Linked DNA regions of Tamandua tetradactyla. The protein of the gene in region 1 binds, or shares a complex with, the protein of each later gene. Links are inferred from orthologs where the notes say so. Each region holds a gene or a part of one and is shown on either strand. Other genes may lie near its edges.

Region 1 (7,515 bases):
ATGAGGTCCTGACAGAGGAACTGCTGAGGGAGAGAAACTGAAGGGGCCCCCATGTCACAAAATCCATTTTTATTTTCTGAGGCTGACACTGGGGTCTTGAGGGGGGTCGAGGCTTCCCTGGTCCTCTGGGAGCAGCCTGGCAAACAGGTTCTCCCTCCCGCTGGGGCGGGCGCGGCCGGAGGGGGAGGCAGGGGCGGAGGAGCGCCCCGGCGCCCGCACCCAAGGGCCCGCAGCGCGGTGATGGCCGGGCCGGGCGCATCCAGGTCCCGCGGGGCGAACGGGGAGCCCCGGCACGGGCCACCAGGGTCGGGCGCCGGCCGCCGGGCGCTGGGAGGGATGCTGCCGCCGCCGAGCCTCTCTCCGCGGGCCCGGGACCGGGCGGCGGGCGCGGGAGCCCAGCTCCGGAGAGCGGAGGGGGCGGGGCCGGCCGCTCCAGCCCCGGGCGTCCCGACTGGGCGCCTGGACACCCGGCGGAGCGGCCCCGCCCCGGAGCCACCTGCCCGGCCCGGGAGGGGCGGCCCCTCGGAGCCTTCGCCCCGCGCCCTCTCCTCCTCTTCCCTCCCCTCCCCGGGCCCTCGCAGCCAGTCCCGGGAGGCGACGTGGAGGGCCGGGCGTGCCGGGCCTGGGAACCTGGCGGCCGGATGGGGGCCGGATCCGCCGACCGGGCGCTCTCGCCGCGCGAAGTGGGTCTGGCGGCTGGGACCACCCGCGAGGCTCTCAGGTGAGCGGGCGCTGTGGATGCCTCGGGCCGGGACCCTGCGTTCAGGGGCCCCTTCTTTAGACCCGGGAGGGTGCGTCCCCACTCTCCTCCTCCTTCGGACCCCAGGGTCCAAATCCCCAGCCTCTCCTTCTTCAGCCCCGGGGGGCCAGGCCCCCAGCCCCTCCTCCCTGAGATTCCTCCTTAGGCGCCCCGCATCCCCTCATCCGCCTTTCCCACCCGCAGCTATGTGGCCCCCCAGTCGCCGTCACCTCTGCCTGGCCTTCCTGCTGGCCTGCCTTCTCTCGGCCATCTCCTTCCTCCACGTCCACCAAGACCTCTTTCGCAAAGGCCTCGATCTGTCCATCCTGTGTCCGGACCGCTGCCGGCTGTCCTCCCGCGTGGCCGTGTTCTGCCTGCCCGGCACGCCGCTGACCGCCAACGCCTCCCGCTCCTGTCCCCGCCGCCCGCCCTCCCCCTCCCCCTCCGGGACCTGGACCATCTACTCCGACGGCCGCTTTGGTAACCAGATGGGGCAGTACGCCACCCTGCTGGCCCTGGCCCAGCTCAACGGCCGCCGGGCCTTCATCCCGCCCGCCATGCACGCCACCCTGGCGCCCGTGTTCCGCATCACCCTGCCCGTGCTGGCCCCCGAGGCGGACAGCCACACGCCGTGGCGCAAGGTGAGGCTGCATGACTGGATGTCGGAGGAGTACGCCCAACTGAAGGACCCCTTTCTGAAGCTCTCCGGCTTTCCCTGCTCCTGGACCTTCTTCCACCACCTCCGGGAACAGATCCGCAGCGAGTTCACCCTTCATGACCACCTCCGGGAGGAGGCCCAGGTCTTCCTGAGTCAGCTCCGCCTGGGCCGGGCCAGGGGCCGCCCGGGCACGTTCGTGGGCGTCCACGTGCGCCGAGGGGACTACCTGGAGGTGATGCCCCACCACTGGAGGGGCGTGGTGGGCGACCGCACCTACCTCCAGCAGGCCATGGACTGGTTCCGGGCCCAGCACCGAGACCCCATCTTTGTGGTCACCAGCAATGGCATGGGGTGGTGCCGGGAGAACATTGACACCTCCCGGGGGGATGTGATCTTTGCCGGCAACGGGCAGGAGGCCTCGCCTGGGAAAGACTTTGCGCTGCTCATGCAGTGCAATCACACCGTCATGACCATCGGTACCTTCGGCTTCTGGGCTGCCTACCTGGCTGGGGGAGACACCGTCTACCTGGCCAACTTCACCCTGCCAGACTCCAACTTCCTGAAGATCTTTAAGCCTGAGGCCGCCTTCCTGCCCGAGTGGGTGGGCATTGCTGCAGACCTGTCTCCACTCCGCTCGAAAGCTGGGCCTTGAGAGGCAAAGCAGAGACGTTTTTTTGGAATGACCAGCGCAATCTAGAGCCAGGAGGATGCATCTCCTGAGGCCTGGCGGCTTCTTGGAGAAGCTTGGGGCTCTGGAGCAGATGGGCACCATATCCCCGCCTTGCCATTTCTAGAGTGATTCCAATTGGCCAACCTTTGAGAGATGGGGGTGGGGGTAGGGCTTTCTGGAACTGCTTGAACATTTCCAGAACCAGCAGGACATCTTTTCCTGATGGTGGCAATGTCTGGAGAAGTTCATGGCAGTAATAGAAGCCACTGTACCCATTTTTTCTTCTCAAGTCGAATCCTTCTGGAAAGTTATCCCCAGGAAGTAGGGAACTCTCTAGGGTTGACTATCCTGGTGTTTTCTAGAAGGTGGCACTCCTCTCTTGGGTCCTAGGAGGACTGAGGGAACTCATGGCTGTTTCAGAGCAAGCATTCAATTCCCTCCATGTTTCTGGAATGATTCTAGAGCGAATTTGCTCTAGAGAGGGCCACATCTAATGCCTGTGAGGAAGCCTGCAGGGCCCTTCCAGAGGTTCTGGAATTCCAGATAACTTCAAGGAGGAATCCAATGAAACAACCAGAAACAACACCACGCCACTGCAAGATTAAGATTGAAAGATGGGAGACAAGCATCTAGCTGGACAGCATACAGTACTGCTCCTGGGCTTTGTAAAAGCTGGGGCTATTTGTGAGCAGAGCAGAACTCTGTCCAACCCTCAGGCCCTGAGAAAGCCAAAAAGGGGGATGGGGGGAGGTAGATAGGCTGAAATGTGAGGTGTGGGTATGGCTGCTGAAATGCTACAGCTTCTAGAGCCAACTTTTCCAGAGATCCACGGACACTTGAAAAAAAAATTTTTTTTAAGCTCAAAAACTGCCAAACACAGAACGACGCACCTTGCCTCCAAGTTCAAGCTGCCTCTCACAATGAAGAAAGTTTCCTCCTCCTTTGCAGCTGGACTGGGGGTGCTGGGGGTGCTGGGATCTGTTTTCTGGGAGGCAGCAGAGCACAAACCTGCCCTTTGGATTTGCCGCAGGTACTGTGCATGTGCCAACCATTGTCTGCCCTTGAATTCACAGAAGCACCAAATCTGGTTTTGGGCGAGTCCAGGATGAAAGGCTCCTAAAAGTACATAGAGTCCGTAACCCAGCCTCAAACTGGGAGCACTGGGTTTGGCCAAGGAGGACAGGATCCCTGTCAGATTTCAGGAGTTCCTTGCTTTTTTGGAGGGTTGAAAGAAGATACTTTTATTATCCTCAACCTCTGCTCACATCCCCCTTCAGAATCCAAGCCCTTTCTCCAGGCTTCTCAGGGAGTTTTGGGGAGACCATTCCCCGTTCACCTGTCACATATGGAAGAGAAGGAGGTATGAATTAAAAGCCCACATCATCAATCCCGGTCTCTGCAGCTTTTTTGGAGGGTTGGGGTGAGGGTAGGGGTGCGGAGGAGAGGGGCAAACTTCCGGGGATTTTCACAGCCCAGGATGTCTTGCGGTTGTAGTGTTTCCCCCTCCTCGCCCCACTCCCCGGAGGCCCACTCGTGCTTCCGTTTTTCTGGCGGCCTGTTTTAATGAAGCAGAAAGACCTTACAGGACCCAAAGGTCCGAGCCCCCAGTTCCTTTCTTCCGGACCCTCGGGACTGGCCTCCAGATCATGAACCCTTGGCATACAGCCTCTCGGGCTGGGGAGGGGACGTGAGCAAGGAGTATAACTGTTGGACTACATTTCCCTTAAGGCTACTGGGCTGACTGCGATAGTTGCTATCAAAAAAGCAACCCAGGGCCTTCTGGGAGTCGTAGTCCTAGACTGGAAACTGCCTCTCCCCGCGTTCTCGTGGCCCAACGCCAGGTTTCCAGAGGCCCAGAAGCCCGGGTCAGGGGCCAAGGGAGGGAGGAAGCTGCAGGCCGGAGGCCGGTTCTCGGCTCCGGGAGCAGGAGCAGGCAGGGGGCCTCCGCAGTTTTAGATGCCGGGGGGTGGGGGGAAATCCTCGTGTGCGGAGGCGGCCGCCTCTGTGACGTCATGAAGCATTGGGCGGGGCCTCCCTTTGTTGCGGTCCAATCGGGTTCGGAGTTGGGTTTCAGGGCGGGGCTTAGAAAAACGCCAGGAAAAAGCTTTTGGGAAATCGGCGACTGCACGTGGCAAAGGCCAACCCCGAGGCTGCGGGAGCTCCCTGCCTAGAGGGGCGACCCGTGACTCAAGACCTCAATCGAAAGGTCTTGGGCATCACGCAACCCCACCTCCCCCTTGTCTCCAACCAATTCCTTTATTTCAGTCCTGAAATAAGAGTAGAAGGACCTGATCCCGGCTTCCGAAGAGCTCTCAGAACCTGGAGTGAGCTCCTCAGCAAGTGTTTGGGGGCACCAGGGTCAGGGAGCCAAGATTGGGAGGCTGCTGCTTGGAGGGCTTCGGGGTTCGTCTTTTCCTCTTAAAGAGAGGGGTATGCCCTGCAAATTGGGGTCTGTTAGTCTTGGGGAAGCGTAGACAAGCCCCACCTTCCACCCCCTCACTCCCGGTCTGGAGAACCGTTTAGAGTCTTGCTTAGATTTGTAGGGTCTCCAGGTTTATGTATTTGGAGTGCATTTTGGTTTGAAAATTTTGAATTTGATGATATCCTGCCTGGTTCTGTATTGGGTAATCTATTTAGTTTGGGCATTGAGTTTTCTGCTCGAGATCCAACAGATTTGGGGGAGGGGTGTTGAGAGGTCTCAGTGGGAGTTGGGGATCACATCAATTTTGGAAAGTCTGCATGGGATGTGGGTTCCCAGTTCTGGTAAGGGGACGGTTGAACACCTCCTGTTTAATAGTTTGCTGGTCTCCTAGTTGGGTTCCAACGAGGATCCTAAATTTGGGGGTCCCCCAGATTGAAGGAATTTGATGAAGGATAGGTGTCCTCTTCATTTAGGGATTTCATGGTTTGGGAACCCCATTAATAGAGGGCCCAGTGGGGTCCCCTTCTATGGACCGTGACTTCTCTCCGTTTAGCGTTCCTCTCCTCTGGACTTGGGGTGGGAGGCCCCTCCCTGGAGCTCTTCGCGGACTTGACGCTCAGGCCGCGATGGGGCCGCCGCTTCCCCTCCTGGTAGCTGCACTGGCTGGTTGCCTGCTGCCTGCCTGGGGCTGTGTCATCTGTGACCAGTCGGTCTTGACGGCGCTTAAGTCCTTGGAGACAGACTACCTGCCTAGCCACTTGTCAGCCAGTGTTCGCGAAAATGTGATGAAAAGGATCGAGGACACTCTGCGGGATTTCAAGGATCTGCCACTAGACGAAGACTCCTACATGGGGGCCGTCGGTAAGGGCAGGACAGAACGCAGTCTCCTGGGTCCTGGTGAAGGAGAAGTTCCGGGCCAAGGTTACTAGATCCAAAGGAAGGAGAGGGCTGGGGGTAGACTCTCTTGGGCTCTGGAAATGGAGAAGGTGCGAATGCACATTCCGGGAGTTCCCGGGGCTAGCAAATACTGTGACTCCACCACACACACACACACCCCCCTTAGCCTGCAATTTTATGTAATGAAACTACAACTCCCAGACGGCAACGGGCAGCTAATCCATTAACCAGGCCTATCTTTGTCTGGAGGCCTCATGGGTATTGTAGTTTCTAAGACTAGGGGAGCCAATGACAGGGACGCTGGAACGTGGTCTGGTCCTATCTCCCCCCACAGATGAGCCCACACTGCAAAAGGCAGCCTGGAGTTTCCTGAAGGATCTGAAACGCATCACAGACAGTGGGGTTAAAGGTAGATGCAAGGAGGAGGGGAGTGGGGGCCCCAGAATTATTCAGGAACGTGATTGCTGGTGATTTCTGGTTTGGAGGCCCACTGCCTTGGTTCCAAATTCCAGCTGTGCCACTTTCTAGCTGCGTGGCCTGGAGCAAGGGACTTCGCGGCTTCCTCGTCTCTAAAATAGAGACCAGTAGCTGTGAAGATTAAATGAATCCTTACACTTGCATCGGTTAGCACCGCGGCCGGCATGATATTCAGGGATCATTACATTTCCCTTCCCTTCCCTGAGAAGGCGGGACAGTGAAATGGCAGACTCTGAAGACCTCCGATAGGGTGGGAGGGGGACCACTCTGCGCCACCCTGCTTCTTCCCAGACGAACTCTTCGTGAAGGAGATATTCTGGATGTTACACCTGCAAAAGGAGGTTTTTTCCCGCTATGCTGCTCAGTTCCTAAAAGAGGGTGAGGGAAGATGGGATCCTGGGACCCCGGCCCCCAGCCCTTCCGATCCCCTCCTTCCTCTAACTTGAGTCCAAGCCCCCAGCTTCTTCCCCTGCCCCCGCTCCCATTCCCCCTTTGACTTAGAAATCTGATTCTCTCTCTTTTTTTTTTTCTTTTATTTTCCATCCGAGGCAGCTTTTTGTCCCAACAAATGCGGTGAGTCCTGATTGAGGTAACCCCACCAATACCCAGCTCTTCCCCACTCCCCTTTCGGGGTCCCCGTGGTGTCTTCATTCTATGCGTTTGAAAAGTCCCGGGGTCTCCTTTCTGCACCTTGGACTTCTTAAGGGCGGGACGGCTACATTCGGTTTCCCCTCTGTAGGGAGCGGGTTTGGATCTTCCTTCCCGCATGGCTGCGTTCTAGCCCCGCCCCCGGTCAGACCCCGCCCCTCCCTTTTAGCCCCGCCTCTTAAAGGGCACGTACAAGCCTTGGGCCTGCCCCTTCAGGTATGCTACTGCAGACCCTGATCTGGTGCGAGGGCTGCGATAAGCAGATTCACGCCTGTCGGAAGTCCGTAAATTGCGGGGGTGAGAGAGGTGGATCCCGTGGGAGGGTGGGTGCGGCAGGGGCAGCGCCAGAGGAGAGGCAGGAGGGGCCCCCAGCCCAGGGCCAGGGGACTTGGAGTGGGGGCGAGGAACCTTGAAGGAGTGCCCCGCAGTGAGCCCGCCCGATCTCCCCATCCTCAGATCGCCACATCAAAGTCTATCAAATGGAGGACATGATTCTGGACTGTGAGCTCAACTGGCATCACGTCTCCGAAGGCCTCACCGAATACAGATTTTTCAGGGTGGGGCCCCCCGACCCCTGTAACCCTTGAACTCCAAGTCCATCAGGCCTGCGTGAGCCCCCTGGTCTCCTGTAACGGTTGCCCGGCACCATGCCACTCCCCCCACCCCATGACCCCTGACCTACCAGGTTTGACCTCTCCTGACCCCGGTGACCCCAAGCCCTTGACACCCTGGACTCCCACGTCCCCTACTGAGGTCCAGTGATCTCTCACCCCTGTGATCCCCCAACCCCTGAATCCCCCAGGCCTCTGTGACCCCTTGAGCTTGGGTCTAGGTTTGGGAGAACACGACTGAGACCTTGTTGTACGAGGGGAAAGAGCCCACCCTGACCAAGACCATGGTGGGGCCAGCGGACGAAGGCAAGTACCGCTGCGAGCTGGGCACTGTGATTTCCAGCCCAGCCACCATCATCTACTATCAGGTCAAAGGTCAGTGCTGCTGGGTGG
Region 2 (7,266 bases), on another chromosome or scaffold:
TTCATTCAAATATTTAGAGGCTCTTCTGTACACCATAAATCATGCTAGGTGCTGGCAACAAAAGGATAAACAAGATAAAGTCCTCACCCAAGGATCTCTAAAGGGGGCTCCCCAGAGTCTAAAGGGAGAAACAAACAAATGTGCAGAAGATTACAAAACTTGTAATAAATGCAATGCTAAAAGGAACTATAGGAAGGCTTGCGAGCCCACAGAATGGACCCTAAGCCAGGAAGAGGCAAAGGAAGGTTTCTAGAGATACTGTTACCTATGCACTGAAGGATGTGTAGCCAGGTGAAAAGGAAAATTCATCCCTGCGAAGGGAGGTACAGCACAGTGGCACATTCACATAGCAGCGAGTGGCTCAGCCTGGCTAGTGTGGAAAGTAAGGCTGGGCTTAGAGGGGAAGGGACTCTGCAGTAACCAATGGCAATTCAAGCATTCTGTTTTGGGTTTTGTTTTCTTAAGAATAAAGTTGATTGGGATCAGCTGCTTCAAATGGTATTGTCCACAGACAGCTTTGGTTTATCAACTTGCAGTCAGAAAACAGATTAATCTGGAAGCCTCAGTCACAATAATGCAAACATGAATTTTCCTCAAGGACCACAGACTGTCTCTCTGGGGAGATGTCAGCAGCATGGTTCTCTGAAAGGCAGCCTCGGTAATTCCTTCCCATGCCCCACCTCCCTCGGCACCTGTGCTGGCTGTAATTGCATCTCATTTCCTACAGCTTCATTCCGGAGACTGTTAGCAAGTCCCTCCTTGACCTTCTTTCCTCCATGCAGAGCCACCTTCATCCTGTGACCAGAGGGCCTGTTTTCCATTTCAGTCATTACTTTTGTGATTCATTTCTGGGTTCTTGTCCCTGCCACATCCACAGTCATCTTAAATATAACATTAAAAGCCAAATCTCTTACCTCTTCAAGGCTTAGGGCTTCCGGAATATTTGCAGGAAATTGGACAGCCTGTGAGAGCCTGCTTCTTCCCAGTAGAGTTCACACCTGTGGGAAGAAGCCCTGTCACAGAAACTCCACTGCCACTTGGTGCCTGACCTCAAAGAGGGGAGGGACCCTGAGCTCTACTTCAGGCAGCTGGACTGGTAACTTGTCTTTGTTTCCACAAACTTGGGTGGCTTAAAACAACAGAAATCTATTGCCTCACAGTTTTGGAGGCTAGAATTCTGAAAACAAGATGTCGGCAGGGCCAAGCGTCATTTAAAGACTGGAGGTAAGGGCTCTGATCCATGCCTCTCTCCCGGCTTCTGGTGGTGGCTTGCCAGCAACCCATGGCATCTCCCCGTCCAACTGTCTGTATCCTACTCTCCCCTTCTCGCGGGGACCCCAGTCATATTGGATTAGGGCTCATCCTATACCAATTTGGCTTCTTAACTAATTATATCTTTAAAAACACTATTTCCAAATAGGGTCACATTCGCAGGATGGGTATTAGGACTTGAACCAGGTTTTTAGGGGACACAACTCAACCCATAACAGTAACCATGACTGCTCTTGAATACAACTAACCCGCCCCTCCTTCCAACACACACACAATCTGATTGTGGAATTTAACTTTAAAAAACAGGCTTCCTCTGAGACCCAAACAGCACCTGTCCTTTCGGTCCTGGAGGTCCTTCCACCTTCCACTCCCACCCTCACCTAGTTCTTAAGAGCACAGGAGATCTGAGCTCTGGTGCTCCCTAGCCGAGCCTGTTTTCTCCCTGAGGCTGAGCGCTCCGGAGTGGTGGCGGGGAGGGAGACAGGCCTGCACTCAGCACACAGGGGCTGTGATTACCAGGAGGTGGGAAACATTATTTCCCAGCATGATTACATGCTTTGCACATCAACTCTGCAGCTAAAAAATGCAGAGCGTGTCTGTTTCATACTCTCTTCTGTTAAAAAACGCTTTTAGTGTTTTGTTTTCATTTCCTAGGTCTAAGTAAAGCATATGTGATTTTGAGCTACTTCTGCTTTGGAGAGGGAACTTGTCAGAAGAAGCAAGCAAAGCAATGGGCTCCTTCCCTTGTGTTTTCATCATCTTTGGGGCCCTCCTAAGAATTGTAGCCAAGTTCCTGAGCCTCTCCTTAGTTGAGGGGGACATTCCCGTGAATATCACCACAACCAACTACTCTTGCCAAAATATTTCACAGGACAGTGGTCCCTCCCTTCCCTAGAGGCATCACGCTGGGGGAAGGGCATCTCGTGGGCTTTTGAGGGAGTTTTTGGTTTTGTTTCTTTTGGCTTTGGTCATGCATTAAGTTCTTGTGTGCCCACAGCCACAAACTTCATCTCCTGTGACCTGTGTGCTCTTACTCTGTTCCTGTGGGGTGTCCCGAGGAGAAGGCTGTTACTAGGACCCCCGTGTGGTCCATCCCAGGTAATTGAGCAGATGACTGAGGGCGAGTAGAACTCCAGGACAGGGCAGAGAGAGAAACACTTATAGAATAAAAGAATGACAATTAAAACTCACAAGACTTACCAAGCATTTACTCTGTGCCTGGTACGATTCCGAGTTCCTTCTCAGGAACTCTCCTTTTAATTTCTTCTTCTCATCAGCCCGATTATAATAACCTTCCCTTTTCAGGTGGAGACGTGATGCTTCATTTAAGTAATTTTCCTGAGGTCACTCAGCTAGTGAGTAGCAGAACGGAGAGCTGAACTTCGTGTCTGGTGAAAGAATCCAGCATCTTCACCACTACAAAGCCTCTTTTCTCTGGGAAAGCACTCTCGCTCGGAGCTCACCTCGATCCACTGCTGGAGGCCCTTGGGTAAAACAGCATAACTGGAGCCACCTGGGTTCTGCTCCCACACGTGGGCCTCATAGAAACTGAGCTGGGTAATAAATGGGTGGGTGTGGAATTCCCATCAACCTCAGCATTTCGGGGAGCCAGAGGGACCATCTGGAGGGCCTGCTGCTTTGAAAGTGGGTATGAAGAAAATGCTAGAAGGGCCACAGCTTTCTTCTTCTCTCCTAAAAGTAAACTGCTGTGGATAGAGAGTTGCGTTGAATTTAGACTTGAGAGTGGGTTCTGACGTTAGGAATGGGGGTCTCCAACTCCAGGATGTTTGAGGTTATAAACTCAGGCTTGGCTGGTGGTTTTCTGATTTCCTGTGATGGGTCCATGGCAGGCTCTGACAAGGCCTGGACATTGGAAGAGCTGTGGACTCCAGAGTGGGTGAAGCTAAGGGAGCTGTTTCCTAGGTTGCCTTTTAAGAGACAATGTTTTCCTGCAGCTGAGTGCTTGGGACGGGATTCTCCATTTCTGTTGCTTTTTGTTCGTTTGTTTAGTCTCTTTATTCCCTTAATTCTTCTTTGTCACTGCTATCCAGAACAGGGTTGCAAACATAGTGCTTAACAAGCACTGAGGGAAAGGCTGTCCTCCCTATTTTTATAATGGCATTGCGATTTGCAAGTGAAGATCTCTCACCTCCAACTCATGCCTGGCCAGGCTCCCTGGCTCAGACATGCCAACAAGGCTGCTGGGCCTTCGGCTGCCCCAGCCTCATGATGGGTTGAGGCTGATGCAAGCACAGCTGTTCTAGAAAGGCATCTGGCTCAGGACCTGAGACTGGGGAGGGACAAGCTGCTCTGAGGAGCTGGGAGCTTTGCTTGGACCCTTCAGAGGGGCTGGAATTAGGGCTAGCCCTCGATGGGGTGAGGTGGGCTTGTCACACTGTCCTGTCCCACCACACCCTTTGGGCCCATGTGCATTAGTTCAGTTACTCAGCCAGTAATTGGGGCCTGCTGTGGGCCAGAGTCAAAGCTCTGAATTCCAAGCCTATGTGCCACTGAGTTAGAAAGGAGAACAGCCAGGGGAAGTTCCCTGTGGGAAGGCTGGGGACTCTCTAACCCCTGACTCTCAGCTGAGGGCTGGTCTCGACCCTTCCCTGTGCTTTAGTTTCTGCATCTGAGTAATGGCTGGGGTTGGGGGTCAGCCCTCTAAGTTTATCCAAACCACCTAACATTCTGTGATGCTGCCTGAGATAGAAGATCTGAGGAGCAGCCACAATGTCACTTGAAAGAGTCTTGAAATTCTGCCTCCCATACTCTGTCTTCAGTACTTGGTATTGTTACCAGAAAAAGGTGAAGGATTCTTTTGCCTGACATGCTCAATAACCAATTCCTGAGGCACTGGGGTTTCAAAGACAGAAAAGGTTTAATACTAGGCACATAGTAGGAGAGCAGATGGTCTAATGGTCCAAAATCTTCTCCCCAAACTGCATCAATTCTGATAGCTTTATTAGAGAAAAATATGGGCAAGATTTAGGATAATGAGCACAGTGGCCCTAGATGATGTAATTAGTGGTGATCTAATTATTGAGCATACGCAGATTGATGACATGCTTAGTCACAGAATGTATGTAAGAAAATGGCTGAACGAATATAGGTGACTTACAGGTTAAAGTCTAAGCTACTGTGCATCTCAGTCAGGCCCACTTTGGTTAGAGCCAGTCTCAGCTAACAAGACAACTGGATTTGGGGTGAGACAGTTCTGGACTGACACAAGACCCTTCATTAACAAACATTAGGAGCTGTCTTTAGTAATTACAAGACTGTAAAGCTGAAAAACTGGATAACTGGGTCCAAATGAAGGTTAGTCACAAGGTTTTTATAATCACAGGGGCAGAAGATAAGGGCTGTACAATAATTATCAGAGTTCAAGGCGGCTGGATTACAACTCAGAGATTTCAGGAGATTCCCTCTGTCTACTCCAATATACCAGTAAGCAAAAAAGAGTATCTGTATAATGATCGAGCAAGCAAAATCATCCCTGAAATTCTGATTTCTCAGTTACAGTATGGTGGAGGGACTGGAATGGGGTGTTCGTCTGGCAAGCAAAAGGGTCTCTTCTCTGCAGAAGGCGATGGCATGGTGGTGGCTCCTGCTAGGGCTGTGGATAGTCTTGCCTGCCTGGGCTGGGAACGAGCTGCTCAATGTCTGCATGAAGGCCCAACACCACAAGAGAAAGCCTGGCCCTGAAGTCCAACTCTATGAGGAGGTACAGAGGCCAGACCAGCCTAGGGGTGGGTGGGGGAGCTTTTTTGGTAAAATGGTCTCTGGACCCGTCAATCTTGGCTGTTTGGCTGGGATTGGGGGCAAAGGTAACTAGAGGGAATCTGTGACCTTTTGAGATCATAGAGCCTGGTGATTTAAGCCCACCTCAGACCTGTTCCAGCCACTCGGGGAGTAGGATGAAATGGTGATTCCATAGGCCAGTGTTGGATCAGCAGAGACGAAGACAACATTCTCCTTCTATAGCCTTGTACCCTCCCACCCAGTGCAATTCACCCAGTGCAATCCCACTTTCCCCTGGGACTTGTTGGGGCTTCTTGCCATACTTGCTTTCTCCTCAAAGCCCCGGCCAGCTCTAGGAGCTGAAACCCTGGAAGTCATGTTTTTAGGGGGCTATAGCAGCCTGAGGCAGGGAGGTCAGTGTGCTGGGAGCCTTCTGCCCTTTCAGTATGAATATTGACAAGTTATTAGGACTCCTCGTATGTAAAAAAAAAAAAAGCTCCCCCACCCACCCCTAGGGGTTGCTGGCCTATAGGGATCCCACCGGCCCAGGTCCTCTCCCAAGAGACATTTTTATTCTGTCCCCCTTCTGCCCTAGCCACTCACCAGCCTCCTCTGCTCTTTGCTTCAGTGCATCCCCTGGAAGGAAAATGCCTGCTGCACAGCCAACACAAGTTGGGAAGCCCACCTGGACATGTCCCTGCTCTACAACTTCAGCTTGACTCACTGTGGGCTGATGACCCCAAGCTGTCAGAAGCACTTCATCCAGGCTGTCTGCTTCTATGAGTGTTCCCCGAACCTGGGGCCCTGGATCCAGCCGGTGGGGAGACTGGGGGCAGATCAGTGCAATGCCCTGTTACTAAGAGCCTGAGCTTCTGTCCCCTCTTATGCTGGCATTTCCAGAATGCTAGCAGGAGCTGCAAGTGCTATTGCCTTCCAGAAAAGAACAGAGTCAGAGACCCCCACTGGGGGAAGGATGGAGAAGAAGCTACCTCCAGGCCTGGAGAAGGGAATGGGGGAGACGGGTCAGATGAGAACAGTGGGATGAGACACTATCACCCATGGGAAGCTTGGTGACTTTAGATGAACTTGAATTTGAATCCCATCTTCTGTACTTATTAGCTGGGTCAAACTAACCTCTTAGCCTCACTTGTAAAATAATACTTTTATGGACTGCGCAATTCAAGATGATATACAGATGATACCTGCTATTGATGCTTTTGTCTCTTTTGATGCCTACACCCAGGTGGGCCCAAGTGGGCCAGGAGAGCGAATTTTGGGTGTGCCGCTGTGCCAGGAGGACTGTGAGCGGTGGTGGGCAGACTGCCGCACGTCTTACACTTGCAAATCCAACTGGCAGGACGGCTGGGACTGGAGTCGGGGTGAGCAATGCTTGACAGGGCCAAGGGAGGGAAGCAGGCCCCTTGGAGGGGGGGTGCGGGAGTGGGAAGAGGAGTTGAGTTGTCCATGCCTCCATCTCCCGCAGGAAAGAGCCGCTGCCCTGTAGGAGCCCCCTGCCGCCCCTTCCCCCATTACTTCCCAGCCCCAGCTGACCTCTGCGAGAAGATTTGGAGCGACTCCTACAAGGCGAGCCCAGAGCACCGGGGCAGTGGGCGGTGTGTCCAGAAGTGGTTTGATCCTACTCGGGGCAATCCCAATGTGGCTGTGGCCCGTCTCTTCGCTAACCCTGCCCCCTCCTGGGAACTGCCCTACACGCTCATGGTCTTCTCTCTGTTCCTGTCCTTCCATCCCTAAGGAGTCCCTCCATCTTCCACCAGCTGTGGGGCAGGCCAGGCCCTGGCCACTTCCTTCCTTGAGCCTTTCCTTAAAAGGAACAGACTGACTGGGGGATTGGGGTGGGACATTGAGGCTGCAATAGCTGGTGCCTGGACCTTGCACATTCAGTCCCAGGCCCTCTCCAGTGCTCTGCTCTGCCTTAACCGTGACTGGAAGGCAGGTGGGGACTGGGAGAGCCAAGGTGGTAAACCCCCTCTGCCTTTAAAAATGTGGGGCTGTAGACTTGGGACCCCAGGCCCTTCTTGCTCAGTGTCTATCAGCTCCCGGGGCAGAGCTGATGATGGCAGATGTGACTGCCTCCTACAATGGTGCCTCCAATAAAATGGCAGTTGCTCTTTCCTCTCTGTCTAATCCACTGTGTCCTACCCACGTGCAGGAAGCCACCCTGCCCAAAGAAGGAGCCACTTAGGTTGTTTCACCCACTAATTGTTTAACTTCTTAATATGGGCCAAGGCCCTCTCC

Evidence for each region. Proteins that work in one complex are often made in the same cells at the same time.
Region 2: the proteins of IZUMO1 (region 1) and IZUMO1R are in contact, whole or in part, in a crystal structure (PDB 5JKC), measured with the Homo sapiens proteins. The link is inferred for Tamandua tetradactyla from reciprocal best matches to the Homo sapiens genes IZUMO1 and IZUMO1R. Residues at the interface, in NP_872381.2 of Homo sapiens: Met75, Val77, Tyr134, Val141, Leu146, Trp148, Lys150, Asn151, Lys153, Glu155, Val156, His157, Ala158, Arg160, Lys161, Ser162, Tyr163, Asn239, Ser240, Ser241, Pro242, Ile245; in NP_001186135.1 of Homo sapiens: Lys42, Tyr44, Glu45, Ile48, Leu58, Trp62, His65, Leu66, Asp67, Gly80, Leu81, Leu82, Met83, Pro84, Gly85, Arg87, Ile91, Met145, Ser146, Tyr147, Gln171.

The regions. Positions count from the first base shown.
Region 1 is NC_135342.1:12,311,549-12,319,063, forward strand, and holds the start of IZUMO1 (izumo sperm-egg fusion protein 1), read left to right. Parts: upstream 1-4,512; 5' UTR 4,513-5,016; coding exon 5,017-5,350; coding exon of another isoform or gene 5,351-5,410; intron 5,411-5,720; coding exon 5,721-5,795; intron 5,796-6,154; coding exon 6,155-6,241; intron 6,242-6,415; coding exon 6,416-6,436; intron 6,437-6,727; coding exon 6,728-6,808; intron 6,809-6,967; coding exon 6,968-7,068; intron 7,069-7,343; coding exon 7,344-7,497; intron 7,498-7,515. Other genes in the region: FUT1 (galactoside alpha-(1,2)-fucosyltransferase 1), read left to right, coding at 946-2,049. UniProt on the Homo sapiens protein: Essential sperm cell-surface protein required for fertilization by acting as a ligand for IZUMO1R/JUNO receptor on egg.
Region 2 is NC_135334.1:48,670,235-48,677,500, reverse strand, and holds IZUMO1R (sperm-egg fusion protein Juno), read left to right. Parts: upstream 1-4,858; coding exon 4,859-4,993; intron 4,994-5,638; coding exon 5,639-5,827; intron 5,828-6,253; coding exon 6,254-6,389; intron 6,390-6,493; coding exon 6,494-6,762; downstream 6,763-7,266. UniProt on the Homo sapiens protein: Receptor for IZUMO1 present at the cell surface of oocytes (oolemma), which is essential for species-specific gamete recognition and fertilization.